Linked DNA regions of Elephas maximus indicus. The protein of the gene in region 1 interacts with the protein of each later gene in a pairwise test. Links are inferred from orthologs where the notes say so. Each region holds a gene or a part of one and is shown on either strand. Other genes may lie near its edges. The genes, in order: CALCOCO1, CWF19L2, dual specificity protein phosphatase 13 and CEP19.

Region 1 (8,115 bases):
GTCAATGGGGGGTGGGAATCCAAGAATTTAGTTATTTTCCTTATTCCAACCAACTCATGGTTGTAAACCTGAGCCAAAAGGGGCTGCAGGGATACCTTGAAGATGCCAATCCAGTCGCTGGCACTGGGCATGGTGCCTGGGGGAAGGGTGTAGTGACATTCCACCTTGGTATTGGGGATATAGGTCCGGGCTACATTCAGAAAGTTGACTCCACCCCGGGATGGTGCCCGGCTTAGTGATGATTCCTCCATATGCCCTCGGGATATCTGCCTTCCTGTGAAGGAAAGGATTAACATCTGTTAGGAATGGAATTGTGTACCCCCCAAAAAAGTTATGCTGAAGTCCTAACCTCTGTACCTGTAAATATGACCTTGCTTGGAAATAGTTTTCTTGTGTTATGTTAATAAGGTCAAACCAAAGTAGGGTGGGTCCTAAACCTAACCACTTCTGAACAGTGTCTTATAAGAACAGCAAAATAAACACAGAGATACACACACACAGGGGCAAGACGGATGCCATGTGATGATCCTCTACAAGCAAAGGAACACCAAGGATTGTCAGCAGTCACCATAAACTAGGAGAGGCTGTAGAAGGCATGGACATAGCTGAGACTCTGATTTGGGCTTTTAGCCTCTAGAACTAGAGAAAATTAATTTCTGTTCTTTTTAAAGCCTCCTACTTATGGTATGTTTTGTTATGGTAGCATTAGGTAACTAAGACAATTCCAAAGTCTTTCTATTCTGTTTCCCTCCACATCCCTATCACCCACACATACACCAGCCCCTGCCACTATACCTGGAGATGAAGGCATATCTGGTTTCTAGCCCCTTAGGGTTACTCTTAGTCCTAGGACATAAGTCTGGACTTCCAAGTCACTCCCAACCCTGTCTCACACTGTACCCTCTCTGGTTCACAGACCTGTCCCAGAATTCAGATCCTTCCAATTTCTGCTCCCTTTTCACTGCCCAACTGACCATGTCTCATTATCCCAGGCTCTATCCTCCTCAGTCTCTCCTTTTCTCCCTCTTACCCTCCTTGAGCCTTCTGGATTCTTCAGCCTCCATCTCCCCATCCATCCCCCACATCTTTTAGCTCTTGAATTCAAAACTCAACTGAGATGTAGGGCCCCCTCATTCTGAGCAGGTCTCTTGAGGTTGTTGATTCAGCTATACATGGGAATGAGTCATGACATCTGAAAACACTAACATCTGAAAGGAATGATTGAGTCTTCAGAGCTGAAATATGGCCTGAGGGGACCAACATCCCAACTTCAGGCTCCTGAGCTCTCAGTCCTCTCCCCCAATCTGAGCTGTCCACCCCCAGAAATTTTAGGGAAGTAAAGCCCTGCTTTCACCCAAGAGTCAAAGGGACTCAGTGGATATAAGGAAAGACAGGTTCTATCACTCAACTTCATCATTACAGGAAGTCAGAATTCTGGAGGCGGCTGCTTCAAGGGTGGAGTGAAACACTTGGCAGGAACTTGGTGGTGTGGGGGAGATGGAATGTGGGGGCTGGGAGACAGGAAAGTCCCACCCACTGGGTAGCAGACAGATTGGAAGGTGGGAAGCAAGGGGCCCTGGGAAGCAAGGGGCCCTGGGAAGCAAGGTGGGAAGCAAGGGGGTAATATATATTTAATGTTGAGGGAAGGGAGAGAGAGTTCAAAAAGGACCTAACATTCTTCTCTCCAGATCTTGCAGGGCAAGAAACCTACTGGTTTGACTTGCTGTTAGCTCTAGTATTTTCCTCCAGTTCCCCTTGGTATCAATTTTAAGTGCCTGAATTCTTCCATCTGCTTGCATTGGTAGTTGCAGATATGCTATAGGATGAGACTGGGAGGAAGGGGTGTTCCAAGTAAGCTGGGAAGAATTAATTGGAAAATTTGGGGGTGGGGTGAGGACAGATAACAATAATAACAATCAAGAGAACTCCTCAGCCCAGGGCAGTGAGACGGCCCTCTTCCTTGTCCCTCCCCTCTGGCTCCCGAAGCTGCATCCTCGGCCAGCCTCGGCTGACAGTATCCAATCAGCCATCGCCACTAGTCATGTGCACACCTCCAAACATCACAAACCCACACCAAGCCGAAGACAGGGACTTTAAAAGAAAACTGAAACTCAGAAAACAGGTGGGCCAGCTCTACAAAAAGGAGTGATGTCTCTCTCCAAATTAGAGATAGAAGTAACAAGGGGTTCCTTTGGATTTACATATCTGAAAAATCCCTAATGAAAACTAGTCCATGTTTTCCTCAGATACAATTCTTCTGGCTTTCTAAGGAGTAAATAAGTTGTCCTCAAAGATCTAAGCCTGAGAAGCTGGTGAAATGGACACGAAAAGAGAGAGTGGAGGGAGGAAGCAGTCTGTCTCATTAGGGGGAGAGCAATTGGGAGTATGTAGCAAGGTGTATATGGGTTTTTGTGTGAGAGACTGACTTGATTTGTAAACTTCCACTTAAAGCACAAAAAAAAAAAAAAAAGATCTAAGCCTGGGTAACCCCTAATACTCCCCACAAACAAAATCTGTAACAGCTGGAAACACTCCCAAGGCCTGAAAAAAAGCTTGGACACCCAAGGTGCATGTGTGCAGCCAGGTTTAAATGTTCATATGGGGGTTCCTTTCTCCCACTGTCTAGGGCTCTAGAGTTCCTTGACATTCTACAGCTTGGAAGGTCCTCCCCACCCAAGGATTCAGCGTAGTGAAGGCCTTTGGATTTGGGGAGGGGGAGGGGAACACGTGTAAAGGGAGGTTTGTGGGGATCAAGTGTTGCCTGGGAGACAATAAGCAAAGGTTCTAGCCCCTCAACTCTCCTAGGCGTATCAAGCTTTATGGAAAAGGGCTGACAAGAAGGTGAGGACAGCGAGAGGACACCCACCTTGCTCAGGGCTCCCCTGAAACCAAGAACTCCCAAAACAGTGGGGGTGGCCTTTCCAGTGGGGAAAGTGTTAAAATCCAAACGTACCCGAATCCTTCTTCTACAGTTCCCTACCCTCTCACAGATTGGAAAGTGGGGTGACCCCCCCCGGACCGCCCCTAAATTAGGCCAAGTTTCTTACCCTACAGACGGATCAGCTGTTCCCGTCACCCTTCACCAACAACAAAAACAGCACTCCGACTCCGTCAGGGGAGGGAGAAGAATGGGCCCGAGGACTTCTGGGTTTTGTGGTTCTTCTGCGCCCTTATGCGGCAGAGCAGGTTTGGATCTAGGACTACACTACCCAAAAGGCGGCGAGAAAGGGGGGCGGAGAAGAGGGCAGCCGTGGCTGCGGCCTCACCACAGCTTCCTGGGAGGCGTAGTTCTCACTTCCATGACTGTAAACGGGGGTGTGGCTATCGGAGGACTTCACATCCCATGATTCCTCAGGAGGGGGGCAGGCTGCGTTAGTGGTAGTTGTTTGCAACGTGCATTTTTGGGGGTGGGGAGGATTTACGGCTCTAACGCCTTCCGAATAACGCTTCACAGTTTTCAGAACGCTACGGATACGCTCTCTTATTTTTCACAACAACCCTGTGAGATAGGTATTATTGTTATCCATACATTACAGATTAGGAAACTAAAGCTCAGAACGGTTAAGCTATGAAATGGCAGAACTCCACCAGGATTGCCTGACTCCAAGTTCAGTGCTCTTGCCACTACCCCAGAATGACCCCCCATTTAGGAGATGGAAAGCTAATAGCTGTGACCTTGTAAAAACTATGTGTTCCACACCGCTGACCATTGTTTTCCAGTTGAAGAATGTTAGTGCCAGGGGCCTGTCAATACTGACGGACCTGAACTGAGTTGCCCTAGAGTGGCCTCTGGGATGCATTGCCTGAGGTGGTGGTGGGGAGGGCAGTGGGGTGAGGGAATGAAGTTGAAGAGGGAGCCTGGCATAATGGAGGACTTGTCATAGCTCACAAACAAGCCACTTACGGGGGCCCGCTTGCCCAGGCTTTTTAACTGGCTTTAATTAATTAGGCTAACAATACATGTTGTTGCTCCAGTATTATTTAGCAGAGGTGAAAAAGATTCACACTCTTCCCAACCCCCAAGCCAGGATTTGGGCATCCTTCCCTGCCCCTCTAGATAGTCTGAGGCATTCAAAATTAATCCCTCTCGCTGTCCTTGTATTAAGGGATGACAGTCTAAGGATTTATTTGCTCTTCCTAGGTGCCTGCCTTTAATTTTCTGCTGCACTAAGTTATGGAGACTTCTGCCTTTCCCAAGTTTTTTGGGTGGTATTTTGCTTTTATGACTGTGAATGGGGTGTCTGGTGCCTGCCCTTGGGTACGTTTTGTCTGAAGATTTCCAAGCACTTAATAAGTCACTGGGCTGCACAAACATTAAGGTGACCTGTCTGTGTCATTAGTCAGGATTTATGAGTTAGGGAACAAGCTACTGGATGAGGAGGCAGCTCAAGGTCCTGGAGTGGGTTAAGAGCAGTCCCACCCAAGTCTCAGGTGTTTTTGATTTTTTACTTCTATGCAGAATAAAGGCACGTAAGAAAACTTAGTTTCATCTGGAGCTAAAAATAATCATTTTCTTACATTGAGTGCTTCAAATGTGTTAAACCACGCTAAAAGCTTTTTATATTTAATACAACAGCCGTATTATTACAACAGCTGCTAACCAGAAGGTCAGTGGTTCAAACCCACCAGCTGCTCCAGGGGGAAAGATGTGGTATTCTGCTTCTGTAAAGATTATAGCCTTGGAAACCCTCTGTCCTAGAGGGTCACTGTGAATTGGAATTGACTCGATAGCAATGGATTTGGTTTGATTTTTGTTGTTGTTGTTATTATCGCCATTTTACATATGATGAAATTGAGGCACAGACAATTAAGTGACTTGCATATGGCCATCCAACTAGTAAGGATTCAAACACAAGTAGCCAGTACATCATACTCCCACCCCAGCAACTCCTGGCATGTGATACTAACTTCCATTGCTCTAAGGAAGAGTGTTGTTAATCAGGCTATAAATGTTCACTGAGCATTTGTGAGCAAGGCATAAGACGATCTGAGATTCAGTCAATAAATATGTATTAGGTAATGTATTAGATACTACGCTCAAAACCAAAAAACCCAGTGCCATCACGTCGATTCTGACTCATAGTGACCCTATAGGACAGAGTAGAACTGCCCCATAGAGTTTCCAAGGAGCACCTGGCAGATTCGAACTGCTGACCCTTTGGTTAGCAGCCGTAGCACTTAACCACTACGCCACCGGGGTTTCCGGTACTATGCTAGGTATTCAATAAATTTTGTTGAAAGAATGAATATAAAATATGGATATTTGAAGGATGGATTATATTTGGACGATTTGGCAGGTCAGGGACTGGGAAGGATAAACTTATTCCAGGGTGAAGCAAAGATTAAAAGGTGTAAATGTGTAATTGATGCTGGGAGTCACATAAGAACAGCAAATCAAATTCAACTTTTTTTTTTTTTTGCAAACTCAGATTGAGTTGTATCTCCCCCCAGTTATGTGTATGAATTTGGCTAGGCCACGATTCCCAGTATTGAGTGATTGTCCACCATTTTGCCATCTCTATGATTTTTTTTTTTTATGATGTTAAGTCTGGGTTATGATGTTAATGAGGTGGGATTAGTGGCAGTTATGTTAATGAGGCAGGAGTCGATCTACCGGATTAGATTGTGTCTTAAACCAATCTCTTTTGTGATATAAAAGAAAGAAGTGAGCAGAGAGATTTGGGGACCTCATACCACCAACAAAGCAGCGCCGGGAGCAGAGCATGTCCTTTAGTCCCAGGGTTCCTGCGCAGAGAAGCTCCTAGACCAAGGCGAGATTGATGACCAGGACCTTCCTCCAGAGCCTACAGAAGAGAGAAAGCCTTCCTCTGGAGCTGATAGCCTGAATTCAGACTTCTAGCCTACTAGACTGTGAGAGAATAAATTTCTGTTTGTTAAAGCTATCCACTTATAGTATTTCTGTTATAACAGCACTAGGTAACTAAGATCCAGTAGACTAATTTATTGTTTGAAATTATTTACTCTCTCCTTCCCTGCCCATTTTCATGTGACTTGCAGTATCTTCTATAGAAGGAGTAAACCAAAACCAGACCTGTCACCATCAAGTCAATTCCTTTAGGACAAAGTAGAATTGCCCCATAGGGTTTCCAAGGAGCTGCTGGTAGATTCGAACTGCCGACCTTTTGGTTAGCAGCCAAGCTCTTAAGCCACTACGCCACCATGGCTCTGTAGAAGGAGTACATGTCCCATTTCATTGACTTTGGGCTTGGTCATATTTCATGTTTTAGCCAACGGAATGTGAGTAGATGTGACTCATGCCATGTTTGAGCTTGTGAGTTTCCCCTTTCTTATTCATCCTCTCTGCCACTAGAATGGGCATGTTTCACACGGGGCTTGCTCCTTCTTCTTGGAATGAGAAGATTCATGGAACAGAGCTGCAACCTACCCACAGCCTACATATACAGAAACCTTTGTTGTTGTAAACCACGGAGATTTTGGGGTTGGTTGCTACTGCAGCAAAGCTGATTAATATACCATGGATGAGTCATACCTGGATAATGGAAGACAAAAGTTTGAAACATAAGCTTATAACCAAGGGTGGAGAATCTCGAATGCCAGATGAGGTAGAGCCTGCTATGTCTTTATCAGAACCTGTTTCCTTCTTTTTCATGGACACACAGCTGGACCATGCTTTTCAGTTTCTCTTCAAGTGATGTGGTACAACTTCCAGGCCTTGCCCATGAAATCTCCCTTATGTTCTTTCCTTTCTGGCCTAATGCAGATAACCTTGAAAGCCACATGCTAAAGGTAATGGAGCCAAAAGATGGAAGGAACCTGGTTCCATGAATCACCTATTGGCAGAGAGCTACCTGCTCATCAGGAACGTGCGTTTTGGACTCCACTTGACCAATAAATACGTTTCTATTTTGTCATGCCACTAAAAACATAATTGGGTAGAAGGGTGGTTTATCTTTTACAGTAGCTAGTGCTTTCCTGGTGGCAGTGGTTAAGCACTTGGCTGCTAATTGAAGGATCAGCAGTTTGAACCTACCAGCCACTCTGTGGGTGAAAGATGTAGCAGTCTGCTTCATAAAGCTATAGCCTAGGAAACCCTATGGGGCAGTTCTACTCTGTCCTGTAGGGTTGCTATGAGTCAGAATTGACTCGATGGCAATGGGAATGGGTAGTGCTTTCCTAACCAATATTGTCAGGTGCTGTCGAGTCGCTTCCCGACTCTTAGTGACACAAAGTACAACAGAACAAAAAACACTGTCCAGTCCTGTGCCATCCTCTCAATCATTGCTATGCTTGAACCCATCGTTGCAGCCACTGTGTCAGCCCATCTCGTAGAGGGTCTTCCTCTTTTTCTCTGACCCTCTACTTCACCAAGCATGATGTCCTTCCCCAGGGACTGGTCCCTCCTGATAACATGTCCAAAATACACGAGATGAAGTCTTTCCACTCTTGCTTCTAAAGAGCATTCTTGGGTTCTGAAGAATCCAAGACAAATTTGTATGTTCTTCTGGCAGTCCACAGTATATTCAGTATTCTTTGCCAACATCTTAATTCAAAGGAATCAATTCTTCTTCAGTCTTCATAATTAATTGTCCAGTTTTTGCATGCATATGAGGCAATTGAAAATACCACGGCTTCGGTCAGGTGCACTTTAGTCCTCAAAGTGACACATTCGCTTCTTAACACTTTAAAGAAGTCTTTTGCATCAGGTTTGCCCAATGTAGTACGTTGTTTGATTTCTTGACTGCTGCTTTCATGGGTGTTGATTGTGGATCCAAGTAAAATGAAATCTTTGACAGCTTCAGCATCTTCTGTGTTTATCATGATTTTGCTTGTTGGTCCAGTTATGAGGATTTTTGTTTTCCTTATATTGAGGTGCAATCCATAATGGAGGCTGTAGTCTTTTATCTTCATCGGTAAGTGCTTCAATCCCCTTTCTTTTTAGCAAGCAAGGTTGTATCATCTGCATATCACAGGTTGTTAATGAATCTTCCTGCAGTCCTGATGCTGTGTTCTTCTTCATATAGTCCAGCTTCTCGATTATTTGCTCAGCGTAGAGATTGAATAAGTATGGTGAAAGGATACACACGCCTTTCCTGATTTTATACCACGCAGTATCCCCTTGTTCTGTTCAAACAA
Region 2 (7,210 bases), on another chromosome or scaffold:
CAATCTCTTTTGAGATATAAAAGAGAGAAGTGAGCAGAAAGACGGGGGGACCTCATATCACCAAGAAAGCAGCGCTGGGAGCGGAGTGTGTCCTTTGGACCTAAGGCTGCTCCATGGAGAAGCTCCTAGACCAGGGGAAGATTGATGACAAGGACCATCCCCCAGAGCTCAAAGAGAGAGAAAGTCTTCCCCTGGAGCTGGCACCCTGAATTTGGACTTCTAGCCTCCTAAACTGTGAGAGAATAAATTTCTCTTTGTTAAAACCATCCACTTGTGGTGTTTGTTATAGCAGCACTAGATAACTAAGACAATAGTATATCAACGTTAGTTCACTGATTGTACCAAATGTACCATTCTAATGTAAGATGTAAAGGTCGGCAGTTTGAATCTACCAGGTGCTCCTTGGAAATTCTATGGGGCAGTTCTACTCTGTCCTATAGGGCCCCTGTAAGTCAGAATCTACTCAACGGCAATAGGTAACATAAGATGTTAGTAATAGGGGAAACTGGGTGAGGGTATATGGTAATTCCTTGTAATATCTTTGCCATTATTCTGTAAATCTAAAACTGTTGTAAAATAAATAGCTTATTAAACAAATGTGTGACTGCTTTTTTCCAGCAGGGCAATAGAAAAGGTAAAGTTGAGAGCATTTCAGAATGATATCTAAAATTAACATGGCACATAAAATGAATGTGAAAGTGTGGTGCAATTTATACTGCGATTCCTATACCACACAACAGACGTCAGTATTATATTCAGGTGGGTATTTAAAAAAAGTTGATTATTGTGATGAAAGTACAGTCTCTCATTCTGTTCCATTCCAAGGTGACACAGCAGAGTGCGTGGCTGACGGTTTCTCCTGGCTGTGTGGGGTTCTAGGATCTTTTAGTCCCCTCTGGAATTGACTCAACGGCAGTGGGGTTTTTTTTTTTTTTTTTTTTTGTGGATCCTAACTGGTCTTTGGTACAGAGTGGCTGCTGTGGCCTGTGATTTCAGTGACAGCTGTCTGATTATTGAGTATTTACAGTCCTGGTACTTGTTTTGCATATATCCTTCTAGTGAATTCCCCTATTTCCTTAAATTTGTCAAATGCCATTCAAATTGCTTGCATACAACCAAAGAATCCCAACAGATAAAACCAATTAAAATATCTAAATGATTTTTTTGTGATCTTGATAATCTGATTTTAAAGTTCATAGGGGAGAGTAAATGTTCAAGAACAGCCAAGAATACCCCGATAAAGAATGATGATGGAATAATTCTACCAGATATCAGAAACACACTATAAAAACTATAGTAATTAAAACAGGATGCAATGGCTGCAGGAATAGTGATCAACTGGACAGACTTTAGAAACAGTCCCATAGATACATGGGAATAGGTAGATCTCTGGCACAAATGGTTTGTGCTTGACTCCTAACCTAAAGGTTGGCGATCTGAACCCACACAGCAGTGCCACAAAAGAAAGACCTGAAAATCTGCTTCTGTGAAGATTACAGCCAAGAAAACCCTATGACTACGATTCTACTCTGTAACACACGTGGTAACCCTGAGTCAGAATCAACTTGACAGCAATGAGTTTGGTTATACATGAGAATATAGTGTATGATTTTAAAGCACCATTTATAATCAGTGTGGAAATAATGAAATAAATCAATAAATGATATTAGGGCTTTTGGATATTTATATGTAAAAAAATCATATCTTGTGCAGATATGACTAGCTGTCTACAAAAATCTTTTCTCCCCTTCCATGGTATAGATTTTTAATGGAGAAGTGACTGCAAAACCAGGGACATCTTTTCTTATGCCCTGTGCATCTAGTTGTGGCCATGTGACTAATTCTTGGCAATGCTGTACAAACAAAGCTGTGTTCCATTTCTGGTTCAAGGGTTTTAAGTTGAGTGTGCCTCTCCAATGGTTTTTCTCTTTCTATTGTCTGAGTGCCAAAAAAGATTCCCTAAGTTATATCTGAGACACAGATGAAAGAAGCCTGGGCTCTTGAATCACCTCATGCAGCAGGAATTACCAACTACTAGGAATACCTATCATGGTGAGTACTGGTTGAAGACAGCCTAGTCTAACCTAACAAATATAGGACACTTTTTCACATAGTTTATATATTAAAAAAACTTCCCGTTCATGAAAGAACTGATTATTAAAATAAGCTCTAAGAGGCAATTAATAAATATGTAGAGAAATAAGCATACGGAAAGGTTCTTAACCTCAAAAGTAATCAGGAAAATACAAAGTGAAATAACGGTAATATAGCATCTTAATTTGATACATACATTTGGCAAAAACTTAGAGATAATACACAATATCAGCAGAGAGCTGAGGAAATAGCTTCTGTCATATACTGCTCATGATAAATTGGTAGTCACTTAGGAAAAAAACTGAGCAGAATGTATTGGAATTTAAAAAAGGGATTCCCATTGGTATAGTAACTTTATTTCTCGATTTCCATTTTAAAAATGCTTTCATATATGAATAAAAACTTCACCAACCACCTTTAGGTTCCTTATTACATTACCCCTTATTTGATTAAATCACAAGATTAGATTTCTAGTAGGTGTGGCCAAATGCAAACATAATCAAAACAACTTGCTTTCTGCCCCCCTACCCCCTGTATCATCTTGTCGCTTCCTACCCCAACTCCAAAATTTTTGTTGGTAATTTTATTGGCACTGCATTATGTTTACAAATTAATTTATGGAGGATTTATCATATTTATAGTCTCTTTCATCAATCACATAATATACCTCTCCATTTGTTCGAGTCTTCTTTTGTGGCATAAATAGGACTATAAAGTTTTCTTCATGTAATTTTGCACGTGTTTCTGCAATAACCACCATTTATTTTTAGTTGCTCCATAACTGATGCAGGGGAGAGAGGAATGTTTTTCTTAATCCCAGGAAAATCTGAAAAGACTTCAATGCTGGTTGAAAGAATTATGACAACATTAGTATGTCACGGTCAGTGGGTTAAATATTACAAGGTCAATTAGTAAATTAAAATTCAATCTTCTGTAGCAAAAATACAATGAGTAAATTTTATTTTGTATATCAAACAAGTAAACCACATGCTCAAGGTTAAGATTTTCACTAAATGGTAAAACAAACTCTGGGGAAAGCTTCTTGCAAACAAATGCAATTTTATGAAACCTGAAAAGAAAGAATATTTACCTCAACCCCACTTATGTTAATTATTTTGTGTCTTTAAGATATTTAGCTTATATTTTACAGATTTCTTTGTATATGATTAAAATGTAAGCTCAGTGCTTTGTATTGTCAAAGCACTTGATTTTATTTCAAAATGGAACTTAAATTTTTTATGTTTGGGAGAGACAAACATAAAACAACAAAACACACGCACAGGTAACGGCACGTTGCAATGAAAAAAGCCTGGATGGATGAGATGAACAATTAAGATGGGACCAATATGAAAAACTTCTAAAAATTAAAGTAAGCACGGGTGAAGTACAATGCAAAATCACATCACTATTTCATATATTAAAAAAAAAAAAAATTAACCAAAGCAAAATACCGAATCAAACCAATTTCGCCCTTCCTGCCTGCTTCTGCTTTCCCCGCCAGCCTTCTTTCTTCTCATTCCCCCCAGCACCCGAAATCTCCTATCGCGAGAAGGGTACTTAATTGGAGACCCTGGTGGCTAGTGGTTAAGAGCTACGGCTGCTAACGTAAGATGGTCTGCAGTTCGAATCTATTAGGTGCTCCCTGGAAACCCTATGGGACGGTTCTACTCTATCCTGTAGGGTCGGTATTATTTGGAATCGACTGGACAGCAACTTTTTTTTTTTTTTTTTAATTTAACCTCTATGAACTTCTGACTTAGTGGTGATTTTCGAGGAAACACGAGAAAGCCGTCAGTATAGTGCACAGAGCGTAACAAACGTATATTGACACTAAACCTGCTCAGGGCGAATCCAGTACACGAACAGAGGGTAACACTTCACTTAGTCTTCACGTCTCTAAAACGTGGAACTTGTAATTCTGACGTTTACGCACCTCACAGCAGCGCATGCTCCGTAGGTGAAACAGCGCCTCTCCTTCCCCTCGTTGGAGATTCTGGTTTGTCTATTAATTTACGACAGTCGTAAATTAGGATTTCGTGATGGCTTCCTAACTTTACGACGGCAACAACTATGGCGGCTGCTAGTGGTAGATTTGAAAGTGCGAAGAGTATCGAAGAGCGTAAAGAACAGACCCGGATTGCTAGGGCCGAAGTGTTGCGCCAGGTACGTCTATTTTGGAGCTTTTGAAACCCTTTAAGTTGTGGGAGTGGAGGGTTCCCGACAGCTAGGCACTCCAGCTTCCCTCATCCCGGCACACACTTAAGTACCTTACCTTTTCTGGGTGGGGTCTCTTTTGAGGATACCCCCAAGCTCTTGGCTGTTCCCCGCCTTCCAAACGCTCTGGCTGGCTCCTTTGTTCTTTCCCTGTATTCAGGGAGCGTTGTTCCTTTTCCTCTGAGTTTCCTTGCCTTTTAAATCATCCCGTCTTTTCTGTCTCCTGGACTGCGCACTTGTAGGGACTCTGCCGTAGTGCCTTACAGCCTTAGTCCTTGCTCATGTTGTATCTGAAACTAAAATTTTCATTTTGAAGAACAGTTGTAAAGAATGTGTTTGACCATTTTATTCTCGTGTCTTCCTTTTGGTATCAGTTTCAGGCTCATTGCAAGCCTTTACTGATCCAAACAAGGGTTGACAGTGGAGACCCAGAAAATTTAGTCCCTGGAAAAAGATTGAGAAACTTTGTATTCCTCATTTAGACTGAGATGCATAGAGGTAAGATACAAAGAATGGAGCAAGTAAACTCTATTAAATTGTCTAACAAGCTATTCAAGATGTTTGGTAACAAATGGGAAAAGTTAATAGCTGGAGAGCAAGGTAGGGTACAAGTGAAAGTACACGGTTTTGTTTGTTTTATGATGGGAGAATTTTAAACGAGTTTAAATGCAAATGAAAGGATCCAGTACAGAAGGAAAGGTAGAGGATGCAGGAATGAGAGGGTATAATGACTACAGCCAGATCTTAAAGTGGGAGAGTAGGCAGTTAGTCTTAGACAAGCGCAAGGTCTGTATTGCTCCCTGACTTTAGTATAAGTATTATGTATGTATAGTAAGTATTCTTCAACCTTGATTCTGGTATTTTCAAGCAGTTTTTCGAGGGAAGTAGGGTTTGTAAGCATGCTTTTAAATCCTCATTGTTTCTGTAACCCTTATCTGCAAACTCAGCCTTATTTGCTCTTATTTATTCTTGTGAAAGAGTTTACTTAATGCTATTCAAATGTAAGTGTTTTCTGTAATTTGCTGAAGCTTGTTCAATATTATCGTGGGGTAAGGGAGAAAGATTTATTTGTGGAAAAATAAGTGGTAACATAGTTCTGATATGACTATTAGGAAAAGATAAAAGACTATTAGTAAAAGATTACATTGTTGAACAGGAGCTATGAATATTATTTACTCATTTATTTGCATACAGACTAGAATTACCTTGAGAACTGATATTTGTTTGCAACATTACCATTCATATTAGTTCCTTAAGTGGTTTTAAAAATTTTTATTGTAATTCATTTTCATTTTTATTTGAGTTTTCTTACTTTTGCTGTGAGGAATAAAATGATCCTCACTCCCAAATGCTGGAAGAAAACTTCCAGTTTACTCTTTGATATTTGAAGAAAAAAATATCCAAAACTTGGAAATAAGGCAAAACATGACTATGCTTCCCTTAATATTGTAGTTGATTTGGAAATCGATTTGGCGCTTCCTTATAAAGCTAGAAATAGAACTGCTATACGATCCAGCAATCCCACTCCTTGGACTATGTCCTAGAGAAATAAGAGCCTTTACGCGAACAGATATATGTACACCCATGTTTATTGCAGCACTGTTTACAATAGCAAAAACATGGAAGCAACCAAGGTGCCCATCAACACATGAATGGATAAATCAATTATGGTATGTTCACGCAATGGAATACTACGCATCGGTAAAGAACAGTGAGGAATCTGTGAGACATACAACATGGAGGAACCTGGAAGGCATTATGCTGAGTGAAATTAGTCAGTTGCAAAAGGACAAATATTGTAGAAAACCACTATTATAAGAACTTGAGAAATAGTTTAAACTGAGAAGAAAACGTTCTTTTGTAAAAAGTTACGAGAGGGGGGAGGGAGGGAGGAGGGTGGGAGAGGGGCATTCACTAGATAGTAGATGAGAACTACTTCAGGTGAAGGGAGAGACAGCACACAATACAGGGGAGGTCAGCACAATGGGACTAAACCAAAAGCAAAGAAGTTTCCTGAGTAAACTGAATGCTTCGAAGGCCAGCGAAGCAGGGGCAGGGGTCTGGGGACCATGGTTTCAGGGGACATCTAAGTCAATTGGCATAATAAAATCTATTAAGAAAACATTCTGCATCCCACTTTGAAGAGTGGTGTCTGGAGTCTTAAATGCTGGCAAGCAGCCATCTAAGATGCATTCATTGGTCTCAACCCACCTGGATCAAAGGAGAATGAAGAACACCAAGGACACAAGGCGATTACGAGCCTAAGAGACAGAAGGGGCCACATGAACCATAGACTACATCATCCTGAGACCTGAAGAACTAGATGGTGCCTGGCTACATCCAATGACTGCCCTGACAGGGAACACAACAGAGAACCTCTGAGGGAGCAGAAGAGCAGTGGGATGCAGACCCCAAATTCTCATAAAAAGACTGAGACTAGAAGGACCCGGGTGATCATGGCACCCAGATCTTCTATTGGCCCAGGACAGGAGCCATTCCCGAAGCCAGCTCTTCAGACATGGATTGGACTGGACAATGGGTTGGAGAGGGATGCTGGTGAGGAGTGAGCTTCTTGGATCAGGTGGACACTTGAGACTATGTTGGCATCTCCTGCCTGGAGGGGAGATGAGAGGGTGGAGGGGGTTAGAAGGTGATGAAATGGACACGAAAAGAGAGTGTGGAGGGAGAGAGTAATTGGGAGTGTGTAGCAAGGTGTATATGGGTTTTTGTGTGAGAGACTGACTTGATTTGTAAACTTTCACTTAAAGCACAATAAAAATTATTAAAAAAAATATTGTAGTAGAGAGTTGTCTAAGCAACCTGCCTCATGGTCATCTGACTAGAGAAACATGACTTTGATGGATTTGAGCTGAAACTATGAAGTTAGATCTTGTAGAACACT
Region 3 (7,367 bases), on another chromosome or scaffold:
GCTGTGCCCCTTGCTACGTGACCCTGGGCAACTACCACCTCTCTCTGGACTTCAGTTTCCTCACCAATGTGATGGGAATGACACAGCACTTTTTAACATCCCAAACAGTTTAACATTCATCCGTTCACTCACCAGCCATTTACTGGGTATCTGCCATGTGCCAGGCTCTGAGCTAGATACTGGGAACCCAGAAGAAAGCAATGTAGGGCCCCTGCCTCATGGAACTGTTACCTGTGTGATGGAAAGACAGCCAAATTGTGAAGTGTCGTGAGTGCTACCGTAGGCAAAGGTGAAGAGTGGGGCACTCAACTCACTCCAAGGATCAGAGAGGTAGGGGACCTTTCTCTACAACAGTACTCACTGGACCACATGCAAAAGCCATGGGCTGTTCTGTGATTCAGGCAATACCCTGAGGTGGTCAGGGAAGCCCATGTGAGGCAACATTGTTTCATTTGAGACCTGATGAATGACTTGAACTTAGTCAGACCAAGAGCAGGGGAAAACTTTTTCAGGTAGTTGAAATAGCATGTGCCAAAGCTGGAGGGCAGAGACCATGACAGCTTCAAGGAACTGAAAACTACCCAGTGTTCCTAGAGCTGAGAGTTAGGGTGGGATCACCTGAGATGAGAGGTGGGCTCAGCAGGGGAAGCTCTTAGAGGGTCTTGTAAGTCATGTGAGTTGGACCTCATCCCAAAACAGATGTTAGTCTACCCATTTGACAAATCAGGAAACAGGCCCATAAGGCCACAGGGTCACAGAGTATGCCCAAGGTAGACAAGGGAAAGGAACTTGGGTCTCCATCCCAGGCCCTGGGAGGGTCTCCTGGTAGAGAAGGGTCTTTCACTAGGATGTCTTCCTCAGCCAAGGTCCTGGTGCACTGTGTGGTGGGTGTGAGCCGCTCTGCCACGCTGGTCCTCGCCTACCTCATGCTGCGCCAGAAGTTGTCCTTGCGCCAGGCGGTGATCACTGTGCGGCAGCACCGATGGGTCTTCCCCAACCGAGGCTTCCTCCACCAGCTGTGCCAGCTGGATCAGCAGTTGTGGGGTGCAGGCCGGAACTGAGGGGCCAGGTGAGGGCTGGGCAGGAGGTTGGGGGGTAAGGGGGCAAGGCTGGGTGCCATTAAAGTGAGAAGTCAGGTGAGGGGCTGGGCAGGGGGCAAGGCTACAGTTAGAAGTAAGGGGTCAAGTAAAGGCTGGGGACATGGGATGGGACCAGTTCAGTGGTTGGTTGGCAGGAGGGATGTATGTGGCTGGAAATGAAGGCTGAAAGAGACCAGGCCCACTCCCCAAGATACTGGGATCCCCTCGTTGACCCAAGGTCTCACCAGGACCTGGCTTAGGCAATACTCCTGTAGGCCTTCCTCTCCTGCAGCTTATCCAGGTTCTCAGACCTCAGAAAGAGTGGAAAGGCTAAGAAGGAAGGGAGTGGAAAGTATAAAATGGAAGAGCTTGTGAGGCTGGCTTGTCCTGCCTCCTCAGCAGAAAGGCTGTGGGAGCTCACCTGAACCTCGCCATGGTCAGACCTGGCACCTGTGGCTGTCTGGACCTTCCTGCACCTCTGCCAAGCCTATAACCTCTGCATCTCCCTCCCCTCAGTTCTAGACCCAGCTACAGCCTCAGGAAGAAAATTTGGCTGCAGCTATAGTTCTACACTTAGCGAATTCTCGTCCCAGCCCTGTTCCACCATTCCCACAACGGGAAAGGAGGACAGGTTCCCGAATGTGCTCCTGCCACCAGCCATGATGTCTAAAGCCCTGCTCGATGCCAGAGTTCTCCTGTATCTCTCCTGCACTTGCACCACCCAGTTCTCCACCATGTTTTCAGCACCCAGACCCTACCCATCTCCCAATTACTCTTCTGATCTCAGAGATCTACACAGGACCCTGTCTACCCTTGCTCCCTCTCTGGTTCTGGGCACCTCTTTAGAACATAAAGGTCTTCCTGAAGCCTACCCAGACTCCTTTCTGCTCCATTCACCCCCTGCTTTCTAGTTCTGTATTCAGGGCAGCTGGAGAAATAGCCCATGGTCTTTAGGTTGCACAAAGGGAGCAGATCACCAGTACCTCATCTTCCCAACCCAACCCCTCCAGCCGTGGGCTTCAGTGTCCTAAGTAGAAGATGGTGGGTTTCTCAGACTTGTGATTGTTGCTAGTTTCCGTCAAGTAGGCCCCCAACTCATGGCGACCCCACGTACAATGGGATCAGACCGTTGTGATCCATAGGTCTTCGTTGGCTGTGTTTTTTTTTTTTTTAGTGTTCTGATCATGCTGTTTTTTTTTTTTTTAATTTTTATTGTGCTTTAAGTGGAAGTTTACAAATCAAGTCAGTCTCTCATACAAAAATTTATATACACCTTGCTACATACTCCTAGTTGTTCTCCCCTAATGAGACGGCACATTCCTCTCCACCTTCTATTTTTGTGTCCATTCGGCCAGCTTCTGACCCCCTCTGCCATCTCATCTTCCCTCTAGACAGGAGCTGCCCACATAGTCTCATGTGTCTACTTGATCCAAGAAGCTCACTCCTCACCAGTATCATTTTCTATACTATAGTCCAGTCCAATCCCTATCTGAAGAATTGGCTTTGGGAGTGGTTCCTGTCTTGGGCTAACAGAAGGTCTGGGGACCATGACCTCCAGAGTCCTTCTAGTCTCAGTCAGACCATTAAGTTTGGTCTTTTTATGAGAATTTGGGGTCTGCATCCCACTGCTCTGCTGCCCCCTCAGGGGTTCTCTGTTGTGTTCACTGGCAGGGCAGTCATCAGTTGTAGCTGGGCACCATCTAGTTCTTCTGGTCTCAGGCTGATGTGGTCTCTGGTTTATGTGGCCCTTTCTGTCTCTTGGGCTCATAAGTACCTTGCGTCTTTGGTGGTCTTCATTCTCCTTTGCTCCAGATGGGTTGGGACCAACTGATGCATCTTAGACGGCCTCTTGCTAACGTTTAAGACCTCAGATGTCATTGGCTGATTTTTGGAAGTAGATCACCAGGCCTTTCTTTCTAGTCTATCTTAGTCTGGAAGCTCCACTGAAAGGTTACCAGCCCACAAGTGGTCGCCAAGGTGCTGGTTCCATTTCTTTTATGTCAGCCTTCTGTTTTTCTCTAGCACATTCGGGAGAAGGGAGAGATGTCTCTTCTAGGGGTGGGGTGGCTGGGGGTGTTCCAGGCTTGTGAGGAAAGCTGCAAAGCACGCCTTTCTCCCGGATTCAGTCTGTCTTTGTCTGCCCCAACAGCATGGCCTTCCCCACAGCCACATCCTACCTGAGGGCTATCAGCTGGAAGTGAAGCCTCCAGACTGCTCTCTGCTTCCCCCACCCCACCTCCAACTCCTGCCATCCATCCTGATCTTTGCCTCAGTGTCCTCAACCCCATCTTTGGCTGTGCACCACCCACTGGCTCAGAGTGGCTGCCAACTGGGGACGGGTGACTGGATGGGCCCCTCTGGATGGGACAAACCAGGACCAGCCTAGGCTCCCCTGGGAGCTGGATGAGCTTCTTTTCTTGCCCCAAGGGTCTCCCGTGGAAGAGTCCCCACCTCTCACACCCTCCATAGGAGCTGTTTTTGTCTCTGAACACACAACTAGCCCAAGCAAAGGGGAGGAACTTTAACAATATTGACTCCTTCCCACATGCTGTCTGAGGATGAGCATCTTGGGATGGGGGTTAGGGCCGGATGTGGGGACTACGTTTAGAGTTTAACAGTGAGTGTGATGGGAGAAAAATGGGTTATAGCTGGGTTTGGGATTAGGTCTGGGACTAAGCTGGGTGGGAAACATTTGTGGAGAGCTCTGCAGGTATTGGGTCCAGAGGAGGACAGGAGTGGTATGTTCCTAGCCTTCTCTCTCTCCTCTAGACAGGTTTCAGGAACCTGGCAGAGCAACAGATCTCTGGACATGCCCAATCACCCTACTTCATCAGGCTGGGATCCCTAGACACCCTGGTATCTGACCTCAGTATCTTTGCCTATGAGGCACCTGACTTCAAGGAAGCCTGTTGGGCAGGGCTGCAACATTGCACAATTCCTGGGGCTGCCATTCACCGAATGGTATATGCGACTGGAGACCCTAGGAGTTGTGCAGTGCACAGTCCCCTGGGGCTGGGGACTCTGAGATGGTGGTGCTGTGGGAAAAGTCATCTATTTCCATGAACCTGGGTCCCCAACCTACCTCCTCATTGCTCCCCAGCACCTGCACCCACTTGATCTTACACAAGTGGCTCCTGCCTGTACCCTGATGTGTCCCAGCCAGCCTGGGCCTTCCTTGGTTTACCTGCTTGCAATACGAAGCTCATCTGCACCCCAGAGCCAGTCATTACTCTCTGCCACGGGGCTCTGCCACTTTGCCACCCTGGCTCTGGCCCTGCTGGTGCTTCTGGAGCCCCTGGGACAGGTGGATACCTGGAAGACGGTAAGAGCCTGGTGTGGAGCCGACCCTAGAGCCTGCTACTCTGTCTTCCTGTTGCCCCCACCCCTCTTGGCCACTGTGTTCACTCCCCAAACCCTGAGGTTCTGTGGCCAGGGACCCCAGGTTCCCTAGAGAGCAGGGGAAGAGACACGGAGGGGATTCTAAGTGTCCATGATAGCCCCTGGCCACAAGCTGCCTCCCCCCAGCTCTCCCCAGGGCTCATGGACCCCAGTGGGGGCTGGGTCCTAGCTCACTGGAGTTGATCAGACTCCAGAGACTCCAGTATAGGTGTGGTTGTGGGTGTGTCTCTTTGTGCGTCCATTATCTGGGACTGAAAGTGAGGAGAAGTGCTAAGGTATGGGTTGTGTGAGGAGGGTCTCCGGGTGGTCACGGAGGGCTTTAATAGGCCCTAATCCAAGGTCCCTAACTGACCTCAGTTAGCCTTGGGAGGGACTTTAGAGACCAATTCGCTGGCTTCAAGGGACAGTGAGGCCTGGGCCAGGGATACCCCATCCTGCCTTTTGTGGGAAGGAGGCAGGTGCAACTGGTTCCTGGACACACAACTTCTTATTGCAGGCTGGGGCTGGGCCCAGGGTTTAAAGGCCCGCTCTGTACCCCACTTGAACCTTTGTCTGTTTGTCTGCCTGTGCTGCTTCCCTTAGCCTGAGTCTTCTAGTTCTTAAGCCTGGGCCAATCCCATAATCCTGAGTCCCCATCTAAGGGTCCCTGGACTGGGGTTCTCATGTTAACAGTGCCACCAACTTGCTGTGGGATTTGGCTAGTCTCTTCCCATGTCTGGCCACAGTGTCCTCCTGCATGGAAGACCCCTCCAGCTTTAACTTTCTGACGCTGCTCTACATCACTCTCAAAGGCCAAAGGAGCTTTCAAAATGGTTTATTTGTGCTTCCTTCTCCCTGCCTCCCTATAAACGGGCACACATGCCACCAGCAGACCCCTGCCATGCTGCCTGTACTCCCCGCAGGGCCTGGAGGGGAAGGTGCTTGGCTGGGCTTGGCACTGACCATGCCATGGGACTAGTGGGCGAGTTGGGAGTGGCAGGGGGAGGTCAGCAGGGGGAGCAGCACATCATGCTTTATAATTAAACTCAAATCAAAAAATAGAAACAGCAGCAAGTGTGCAGAGACAGGCGGCTGGAAACCAGCAGCACAAACTGCCCGTCAGAGAAGACCACGGCCTGGGTCAGATACCACTGCAGGTGGGTGGATGCCTCTATTTCAGGGGGGCCACCGAGCATGCTGGGTAACGAGGGTCAGGACATTCATGCCTGTGTCGGGGGTAGGGTGTGAGTGGAGAAGAATGGGAGGCCGACTGGGTCAGAGATAAAGGCAGAGACAAAGTATAGTAGAGTCAGAAAGACCTGGGTTTGAATCCTACCTCCATGTGTTTTGACTACGTGACCTTGGGTAGGTTGCTTAACCTCTCTGAGCCTCAGTTTCCTTATCTATAAAATGGGGATGATGATATCATTTACAGGAGCCCTGGTGGTGCAATGGTTAAGTGCATGGCTGCTAATCAAAAGATGGGCAGTTTGAACCCACCTCGCGGTTCTGTGGGAGAAAGAACTGGTGATCTGTTTCCAAAAGATTACATCCTAGGAAACCCTATGGGACAGTTCTACTCTATCACATTGGGTCACTATGATACCCCCACAGGTGAGTGAAAACCGACTTGACGGCACCCAACAACAACAACATCACCTATACCATAAGGGCACTGTGAGGATTTAATGAGAAAAGGTAAGCACCAAGCTCTGTGTCTGGTACACAGTACATTCTTAATAAGTGGTAAAACAAACAAACAAACAAACAAAAAAACCATTGCTGTCAAGTCGATTCTGACTCATAGCGACCCTATAGAACAGAGTAGAGCTGCCCCATATGGTTTCCAAGGAGCGCCTGGTGGATTTGAACTGCTAACCTTTTGGTTAGCAGCCTAGTTCTTAACCACTACACCACCAGGGTGGTAGGTATAATAATAATTATTGCTGGGCAGAGAATGAAATGTCAAGGGATAAAAAGAGATAAGAGGCTGAGCCTCACTGCACCTTGGGGAAGTTACCCTCTGCCCAGGATATGGATGAGGTTGAAGGAATAACAGTAACGGCAATAATGACAGTAACAGTAAGGTGCCCTGTTTATTGCGCATCTCCCAAGAGGCAGACCCTATGGCAGGTGCTTTCCATTTATTATCTCACAGGCTTCTCACTGGCTCAGAGAAGACCACACAGGTACCAGTAACAGACCTGAGAATCCCACCAAGTCTGCTGACCTCCCGGGCCTGCAACTGTGCATGCAGGGGGTGTGGGGGGTCATGGAGGAGCATGAACTTCCTGTGAGGGGGTGGGAGACAGGTAAATGGGGAGAGCAAAAGAGAGGAGAGATACAGACAAAAACAGAAAACAAGTATCTGGGCTGGTAAACAGCAGCAACACAAAAGCAGGAAAGCCACTGCCCACAGAGTCAGTGGCTCAGCTTATGGGAAGAGAAGTGGGAAGGAGGCAAGAAGCCCAGGGCTCGATAAGTAGGGAGAAGAGCCTGGCCTGCCCTGTCTGTGCTGAATGCTGGGCCCGTTCTTCACCCTCAGCTTTTGCCAAGGAAATGTGGGAGAAACTGTCAAGAAGGGCCTCCACAGCCCAGGTATGGGGGTGTCAGAAACCACGGAAGCCCACTGCAGCCACTAACTCCCCTTCCCTGGCTGTGCCTGGGGCCTCAAGGATGAGTCACTGGGCTGGCACCTGGGCCCGACTCCACCCACGATGCAGGCTGAGCCCCCAGTGGGATAGAGCAGACAAGTGGGGTACACCGTGAGCACCAGGAGTGAGGTTCTAGATGGGACCTGGCAAGTTGTTTCTGCTGTGTGCCACTGAGTCGATTCCGACTCATAGCAACCCAACATGACAGAGTAGAACTGCCACATAGGGTTTCCTAGGCTTTACAGGAACAGATTAC
Region 4 (7,131 bases), on another chromosome or scaffold:
ATCATATGAAACAGTATTTTAACTTAAGTAAAAATCAATGGACAACTTACCTGTGGAAACCATCTTTCAAAACTTCGTGCCTCAAAATAATTTCAGAACAAGTGGTTCTTATGCCTAAGAGAACCAAAAGCAATTTTTAGAAAAGCTTTAAATAGCTACATCATTAATAAGCTTTATCACCCTGGAAAACCTAACCAGCCTAAAAACAAAACAAACAAAATTTTTAAAACTTAAGTAATTTACACTACACATAAATCTGCTTCCTGTAGAGTAAGAATATTGACTCAAGTTAGACTGCCTGGTTCAAATCCCAGCTTGTCACTTAATAGCTGCGTGACTTCGCGCAGGATATTTTCTCTCTCTTTTAAATATCATCAGGATTAATACATGTAGAAGCACTCAGAACAGGGCCTACGAAATAGTAAGTGCTCTGTATAGTGTTTGCTCTTAATATTACTATACTCAGGTGACCACGAGACACTGGAACAAATAGAATGACAAAAGAGCCAGGAAATCTGTTTTAATCCTAGCTCACACTGACAGTGTATCAGATACATACTGGCAACTTCTGTATTCTGCCACCCACAGCTATAAAACTGGGAAGACAGTATATTCACGCCTTGTGGGGATGTTGGGAAACCCTGGTGGTATAGTGGTTAAGGGCTATGGCTGTTAACCAAAAGGTCGGCAGTTCGAATCCAACGGGCACTCCTTGGTACCCTATGGGGCAGTTTTACTCCATCCCGTAGGGTCACCATGAGTCAGGTTTTTTGCAGGGGGGAATGTTAGGAGAGTTTAAAAAGGAAAAAAATCTGGAGGCACACAAAGCTTCAAATGGTTCCTACGTAAACCCAGAATAACCAGAAATCAGACATTAAAACTATTACTCCATGTCAGCATCATAAAACTAAAAATTCAGTTACTGTTGACCACCAACTCTGCCAGGCACCTTGCTATGGAACTGAATCCCATTTTCAAAAGCTGGGTGTGTGTGGGAAACACATTGAAACAAACACACAGAAAACTATATACTATTATCGTGTGCTGCTGAGTCCATTAGATGTATTCCAGTGCATGGGAAAAAAATGATGTAGAGATGAAAACATTTGAAAAACACAAGGGAAGGAAGGAAAAACAAATGCAAAACTAACATTTATCCGATAATATCTATATATCAGATCCTGTACTTGAGGTTTTCATATGCGTTTTCTTCTGCATTTTACAAAAAATCTAGCAAAATAAAAAAATAGGCAAGCAAAATGACTGCCATTTGTACACAGGAGAAATGCTGACTCTGGGTTAGAAACTGGCTCTGGGTCACTAAGTGATTGACTGGAAGCAAGATTTGACTGACTTTTAAAGCCTCTCTCCACTCTACCTACTTATTTAAAGGAGTCCTTATTTGCTTTTAACAAAAAAGAAAAAAAAAAAACATTGCCGCCAAGTTGATTCCAACTCATAGCAACCCTGTAGGACAGAGTAGATCTGCCCCGTAGGGTTTCCAAGGAGCACCTGGTAGATTCAAACTGCTGACCTTTTAGTTAGTAGCCATAGCTCTTAAGCGCTACGTCACCGGTTTTCCTATTTGCTTTTGAGAAGCATATAATCTTTACCTAAATAAACAACTTATCTATCTCTTGTACAAAACCAGACTTTTCTTCATCATGTTTAAGTTTAACAAAGATGACTTAGGGAGCAAGGGCTTATATCTACTTATAAATTAAATTAGAAAAACCAAGTCAGATTGATAGGCTTAGATTCTATTGGCATGTATACCACAGTAGTAAATCACATAACCATGAGATGGTGGGAAGACTAATTTACAAACAGTATAGCAAATACTGGAAACCCTGGTGGCATACTGGTTAAGAGCTACAGCTGCTAACCAAAAGGTCAGCAGTTCATATTTACCAGGCGCTCCTTGGGAACTCTACAGGGCAGTTCTACTCTGTCCTATAGGGTCATAATGAGTCAGAATCAACTCGATGGCAACGGGTTTTTATAGCAAATACTGTTTGTCATTATGATTATTATTATTACACTTTAGGTGAAGGTTTACAGAGCTAGTTTGCTCATTAAACAATGAGTACACATCTTGTTTTATGACATGGGTTAACAACCCCACAACATGTCAACACTCTCCCTTCTCAACCTTGGGTTCCCTATTACCAGCTTTCCTGTCCCCTCCTGCCTTCCAGTCCTTGCCCCTGGGCTGGTGTGCCCCTTTAATCTTTAGTTTTATGGGCCTGTCTAATCTTTGGCTGAAAGGTGAATCTCAGGAGTGACTTTATTAGTGAGCTAAAAGGGTGTCTGGGGTCCACACTTTCAGTTTTTCCAGTCTCTGTCAGGCCAGTAAGTCTGACCTTTTTTTGAGTTAGAATTTTGTTCTCTGTTTTTTTCCAGTTCTGTCCAGGACCCTCTATTGTGATCCCTGTCAGAGCAGTCAGTGTGGTAGCTGGGCAACATCTAGTTGTACTGGACTCAGTCTGATGGAGGCTGTGGTAGCTGTGGTCCATTAGTACTATTTGTCATTTTTAAGGCGAAAGTTCCATTTTCAAAATAAACTTGCACCTGAATTCATCTTCAAGGTTTTTCCTATTAAGTATTACTTTATTTGGTTGTGGTGGCCTGAAGTGGCTCTAAAAATTGTACCTTTTTTAGTCATAAGATGCCAGTGCTGGACGAGTCTTTAGAGATCACCAAGTCCAATTGTGTTAAATTTTTTTTTGTTTTTTTTTGGCTTCTTAAATCCTCTTCTCAAATAAATTTGGAAACCTAATATGTAAAACAGGAGGCCCTGGGTGGCCCAAGTGGTTAAGGGTTGGACTACTAACCAAAAGGTCAACAGTTCAAACTCACCCAGAAGGGCCTCAGAGGTAAGGCTTGGTTGGCCTTCTGCTTCCGAAAGGTCACACCCTGGAAAACCTTAAGGAGTAGTTGTCTTCTCAGCACATGGGGTCACCATGAGTGGGAATTACCCAACTGGCAGTGAACAACAATATGTAAAGTACACAAAATCAGAGCTGCGCTGATGGGCAGATGCTAGTCTGTGCTGACTTTCCTTCCCGTGTCAAACGCCGAGAAGCCCTGTGCTAACCGAAAAGTCAGCGGTTCCAATCCACCAGCCGCTATGTGGGAGAAAGATGTGGCAGTCTGCTTCCGTAAGGGCAGTTCTACTCTGTTCTATAGGGCTGCTAGGCGTCGGAATCCACTGACAGCAATGGGCTGCGTCAAACGTTATCACTTCATTGTGTCCGTCTCCCCCAGGACATTGCCGATGCACCAGGGTTGGGGCCATGTAGATCTAGCTCAAGACTGGATCCACAGCACTTAGCCCAACACTCCAGGCCAGGGACTCGGGCCCAAAGCAGTGATCAACTCCCTCGCCCAGCCCAGAGTCATAAAGAAAGCCTCGCCCAAGCCAGTCTACCATTAAAGATGCCTGAAATACAAAACTAGCCGGTTCCTCAGAATCTCTATGTTCTGGGTTGGGAGTCTCGCGCTGTGCAGCGCGCTGAGGCCTTACTGATTTTGGTGGTCGGGGTTGCACGCATTGCAAGAGGACCCCAAAATGCTTCATTCACGGCCGTGCTTCTGTATGACAGTCCCCGCCAGTCCCGCCCCGGAACAAGGCCCGGTTCTCCGAAGACCCAGCTGCCGGCCGACAGAGCAACGAGTACGGGCACAGCAAGGCACGTGACCTTTTTTCTTTTTACCTCCTCCAGCCCACCCTACAGTTGCGGGCTTCCAGGCCGAGAGCAGGGAAGCACCTTCGCAAACCGAGGGGCGGAGAGGGCTCCTCCCGGTCTGCGCCCCATCGCTCCGCCCTCAAACCCCGCCCACACGGCTGCAGGCCCCGCCCTCCCCTTACCGGCGTCGGAGACCGAGGCGGGCGTGCACGCCAACCCGGTCGCCGCCCAGAGGTGCAGCCAGGCCACCGCCCGGACAGCCACGGCACCTGCCGCCAGGATGCCCGAGGGCGGGCGCCGAGAGGGGCGCGCAGGGACGAAATGCGGACGGCGGAAGCACGCGTTTCACGCCCCTGCAGGCGCGCGATGCCACGGAGGTACTGGCCGGGACGGAGGCCTCAGGGGTCGCACCAGGCTGCAACCCCGAACCCCAGAAGTTCCGGCGCCGCGTGAGGCGGCAGGTCCGACCCCCTCATTTGCTCCCCTCGTCGCCCCGCCCTTCGCCGTCCGAGGCGGGGCGGGGCGACGAGCGGCGCAAGCGCAGTGACGTAGGCCCGGCTGTTGCTGTGGAAACCACTGAGCCCGCCCCCGGGCGGGCAGTCTGGAAGCCCCCTCGAGGTGCTCACGCCCTGCACCTCCGCTTCCAGGGATTTGCGCTGTCGGGCCTCCTGCCGCGGAGTTCACCCCACAGTCACGTCGGCGGGGCCGTGGCCTTCGCCTCTTCCTGCACCGCCAAGCCCCGCCCGGCCTCAGTGCCGGGTTAAGCAGGGGCTCCTCGGTGCGCTGCAGTCTGGGGGGCAGGAAGCCCCTCGTGGTTTTAGACGCTGGCCTGCAGGAGATGCACTTTGTGTACCTCTCTCGGGGTAAGGAAGTCAACCTTGTGCTAGTGGGGCCCATGGAGGAAGAACGTCCCAGAATGGTTAAAGGACCGTGCACCCACAGAGGGTCTCCATTGGCGGAATCCTTACACTTCCAGGTGCTGTGGGGGATGCTTCGCAGGATTACGGTAGTCATTGGTCTTTGCGGAGAAAAATATGTTAGGAAGAGTAAATATGTTGTCTTTCTTCTTGAATTGAATCTGTAAGCAGGCCTAGAAAGCATCCAATAAAAAGAATCCAGTCCAGATTGGAAAATACCAGAATAGGCATATTATGAAGAAATATGGTGATAAATTTTGGGAGAAACACCTAAAAGAATTGAAACTGGCTTACTATGGGGAGACGAAGGGCAAGGAGAGTAGTTTTTTGTTATAAGCCTCAGAATTATTTCACGTTTTAGACAAACTATAAGTATTACTTCCGTAAGAATAAAAATTAAAGAGTCTGTAGCAAAACAAAAAAAACCCTGCATTATTGAGTATCTATTGTATATACCATTTGTGAGTACAGCCATTTGCTTAAGTGTCTAGAGTTTATATTGTTTCTGCTAGAAAGTTCATTAACAAACCAAATCTTAGTGAGGGGAACTGGGAGTAGTATTTGTTTTTAAAAAAAAAAGGGGGGGGAGGGCATAGAGGTAGGTGGAATCATTGCATTAGATCAGAGCCCAAACCAAAAAACCAAACCGAGTGCCGTTGAGTCGATTCCAAGTCACAGTGACCCTATAGGACAGAGTAGAGCTGCCCCATAGACTTTCCAAGGAGTGCCTGGTGGATTCGAACTGCCGACCCTTTGGTTAGCAGCCATAGCAGTTAACCACTATGCCACCAGCGTTTCTGAAAGAGAGCCCAGTATTTTGAAAAAGCAAATTTACTAAGTGAAAATTCCCACGTCCTGTGGTACATTTGAGGAGCCCTGGTGGTGTGGTGGAAACCCTGGTGGCATAGTGGTTTTTTTTTTTTTTTTGGTTGGTGGTTCAGTGGTTAAGTGCTTGGCTGCTAACCGAAAACTCAGTGGTTTGAACCCACCAGCCCTCTGCTGGAGAAAGATGTGGCAGTCTGCTTCCATAAAGATTTACAGCCTTGGAAATCCTGTAAGGCAGTTCCAGTCTGTCCTGGAGGGTCGCTATGAGTCAAAATCCATTTGGGGGCAACAGGTCAGGTTTATGGTAAATTTATGGATTCCCTGGGTGGTGCAAATACTTAATGCACTCTGCTGCTAGCCAAAAGGTTAGAGGTTCGAGCCCACCCAGAGGCTTCTTGGAAGACGGGCCTGGCAATCTGCTTCCAAAAGATCGCAGCCTTGAAAACCCTATGGAGGAGCACAGTTGTTCTCTTCACACTTGGTGTCACTGTGAGTCTGAATCAACCTGATGGCAGCTGAGAACAACAACGTGTACGTATAATGTGTCGATTGTAGTTCATGTGGTTCAGAGGTGTTAACTGAAAGGTTGGAGGTTCGAGCCCACCCAGTGGCCATCTACTTCTGAAAAATCAGCCGTTGAAAACCCTGTGCAGCATGGTTCTATTCTGACATACGTGGGATCACCATGAGTTGGAACTGACTCCGTGGCAACTGGTACTGTTTTTTTAATGTATAAGACACAGGGAGCCCTGGTCTTACTGCGGTTAAGAGCTACAGCTGCTAACCAAAAGATTGGCAGTTTGAATCCACCAGCTGCTCCTTGGAAACCCTGTGGAGCAGTTCAGCTCTGTCCTGTGGGGTCACTATGAGTCGGGACTGACTCACTGGCACCTAACATCATGAAACACTTGCTTTTATTGCATCAAGTTGATTACAACTCACAGGAACCCTGTAGGACAGAATAGGAACTGCCTCGTAGGGCTTCCTAGGTTCTGGGAGCAGATCTCCAGGTCTTTTCTCCCGTGGAACTGCTGGTGGGTTCAAACGGCTGACTTTTCAGTTAGCAGTCGAGCACTTAAGCATTGCACCAGCAGGACTCCTTGGATAAAATATTACACAGTCATATAAAAAATTGCGTTTTAGTAAAATATTCAACGACAAGAAAATAATCACAGACTGTTAAATTTAAAAGGCAGGAGATAGTATATATATATTTTTTAAATATCATAGTTTAGAAAAATAAAATTGTATGTCTAAATAAAAGCCTAGAAGGAATTACGGCTGATTATTTTATGTCTCCTCTTCCCCTCCCCCCCAGCTTTCTACAATGGACTTAGGTGAATTAGGCGCATGTTATTTAAGTATTTTTTTTAATCAAGTTACTATAGTGATTCTCTAACAGAACTGAGTTAATTAAGATATAAACACCCTATGCCACTTCACCTTAAAGTTTCTTGACATTTACAGATCTTCCTGGGAATATCAGAGTTGCATCAAAAGCAGTCCCAGTAATGAAGTGTATTTTGGTGTTGAAGGTGGGGAAGGAAAGAGGGAATTGAAAGTATTAACCTGTAAAAGCTGTGCTGCTTCTGGGAACCGAAAAAGTAACCTATAGTGAGGCAAGTCAGCTGAAAGAAAAGCTGTGTGAACGTTATTGTCTCATATATGTAGAGGCCAGTTCCGAACCAGGTCTGCTTTTT

Evidence for each region.
Region 2: the proteins of CALCOCO1 (region 1) and CWF19L2 interact in binary tests that used the Homo sapiens proteins (3 or more experiments, as listed by UniProt). The two-hybrid records come from large-scale screens. The link is inferred for Elephas maximus indicus from reciprocal best matches to the Homo sapiens genes CALCOCO1 and CWF19L2.
Region 3: the proteins of CALCOCO1 (region 1) and dual specificity protein phosphatase 13 interact in binary tests that used the Homo sapiens proteins (3 or more experiments, as listed by UniProt). The two-hybrid records come from large-scale screens. The link is inferred for Elephas maximus indicus from reciprocal best matches to the Homo sapiens genes CALCOCO1 and DUSP13B.
Region 4: the proteins of CALCOCO1 (region 1) and CEP19 interact in binary tests that used the Homo sapiens proteins (3 or more experiments, as listed by UniProt). The two-hybrid records come from large-scale screens. The link is inferred for Elephas maximus indicus from reciprocal best matches to the Homo sapiens genes CALCOCO1 and CEP19.

Annotation. Positions count from the first base shown.
Region 1 is NC_064822.1:109,207,162-109,215,276, forward strand, and holds the start of CALCOCO1 (calcium-binding and coiled-coil domain-containing protein 1), read right to left. Parts: upstream 3,131-8,115; 5' UTR 3,048-3,130; intron 275-3,047; 5' UTR 252-274; coding exon 96-251; intron 1-95. UniProt on the Homo sapiens protein: Functions as a coactivator for aryl hydrocarbon and nuclear receptors (NR). Recruited to promoters through its contact with the N-terminal basic helix-loop-helix-Per-Arnt-Sim (PAS) domain of transcription factors or coactivators, such as NCOA2.
Region 2 is NC_064825.1:12,385,637-12,392,846, forward strand, and holds the start of CWF19L2 (CWF19-like protein 2), read left to right. Parts: upstream 1-4,108; 5' UTR 4,109-4,164; coding exon 4,165-4,257; intron 4,258-7,210.
Region 3 is NC_064834.1:12,424,428-12,431,794, forward strand, and holds the start of dual specificity protein phosphatase 13, read left to right. Parts: upstream 1-4,345; 5' UTR 4,346-4,401; intron 4,402-5,519; 5' UTR 5,520-5,614; intron 5,615-7,367. Other genes in the region: dual specificity protein phosphatase 13, read left to right, coding at 862-1,061. UniProt on the Homo sapiens protein: Dual specificity phosphatase that dephosphorylates MAPK8/JNK and MAPK14/p38, but not MAPK1/ERK2, in vitro. Exhibits intrinsic phosphatase activity towards both phospho-seryl/threonyl and -tyrosyl residues, with similar specific activities in vitro.
Region 4 is NC_064819.1:18,245,326-18,252,456, reverse strand, and holds the start of CEP19 (centrosomal protein of 19 kDa), read left to right. Parts: upstream 1-4,034; 5' UTR 4,035-4,665; exon of another isoform or gene 4,666-5,962; intron 5,963-7,131. UniProt on the Homo sapiens protein: Required for ciliation. Recruits the RABL2B GTPase to the ciliary base to initiate ciliation.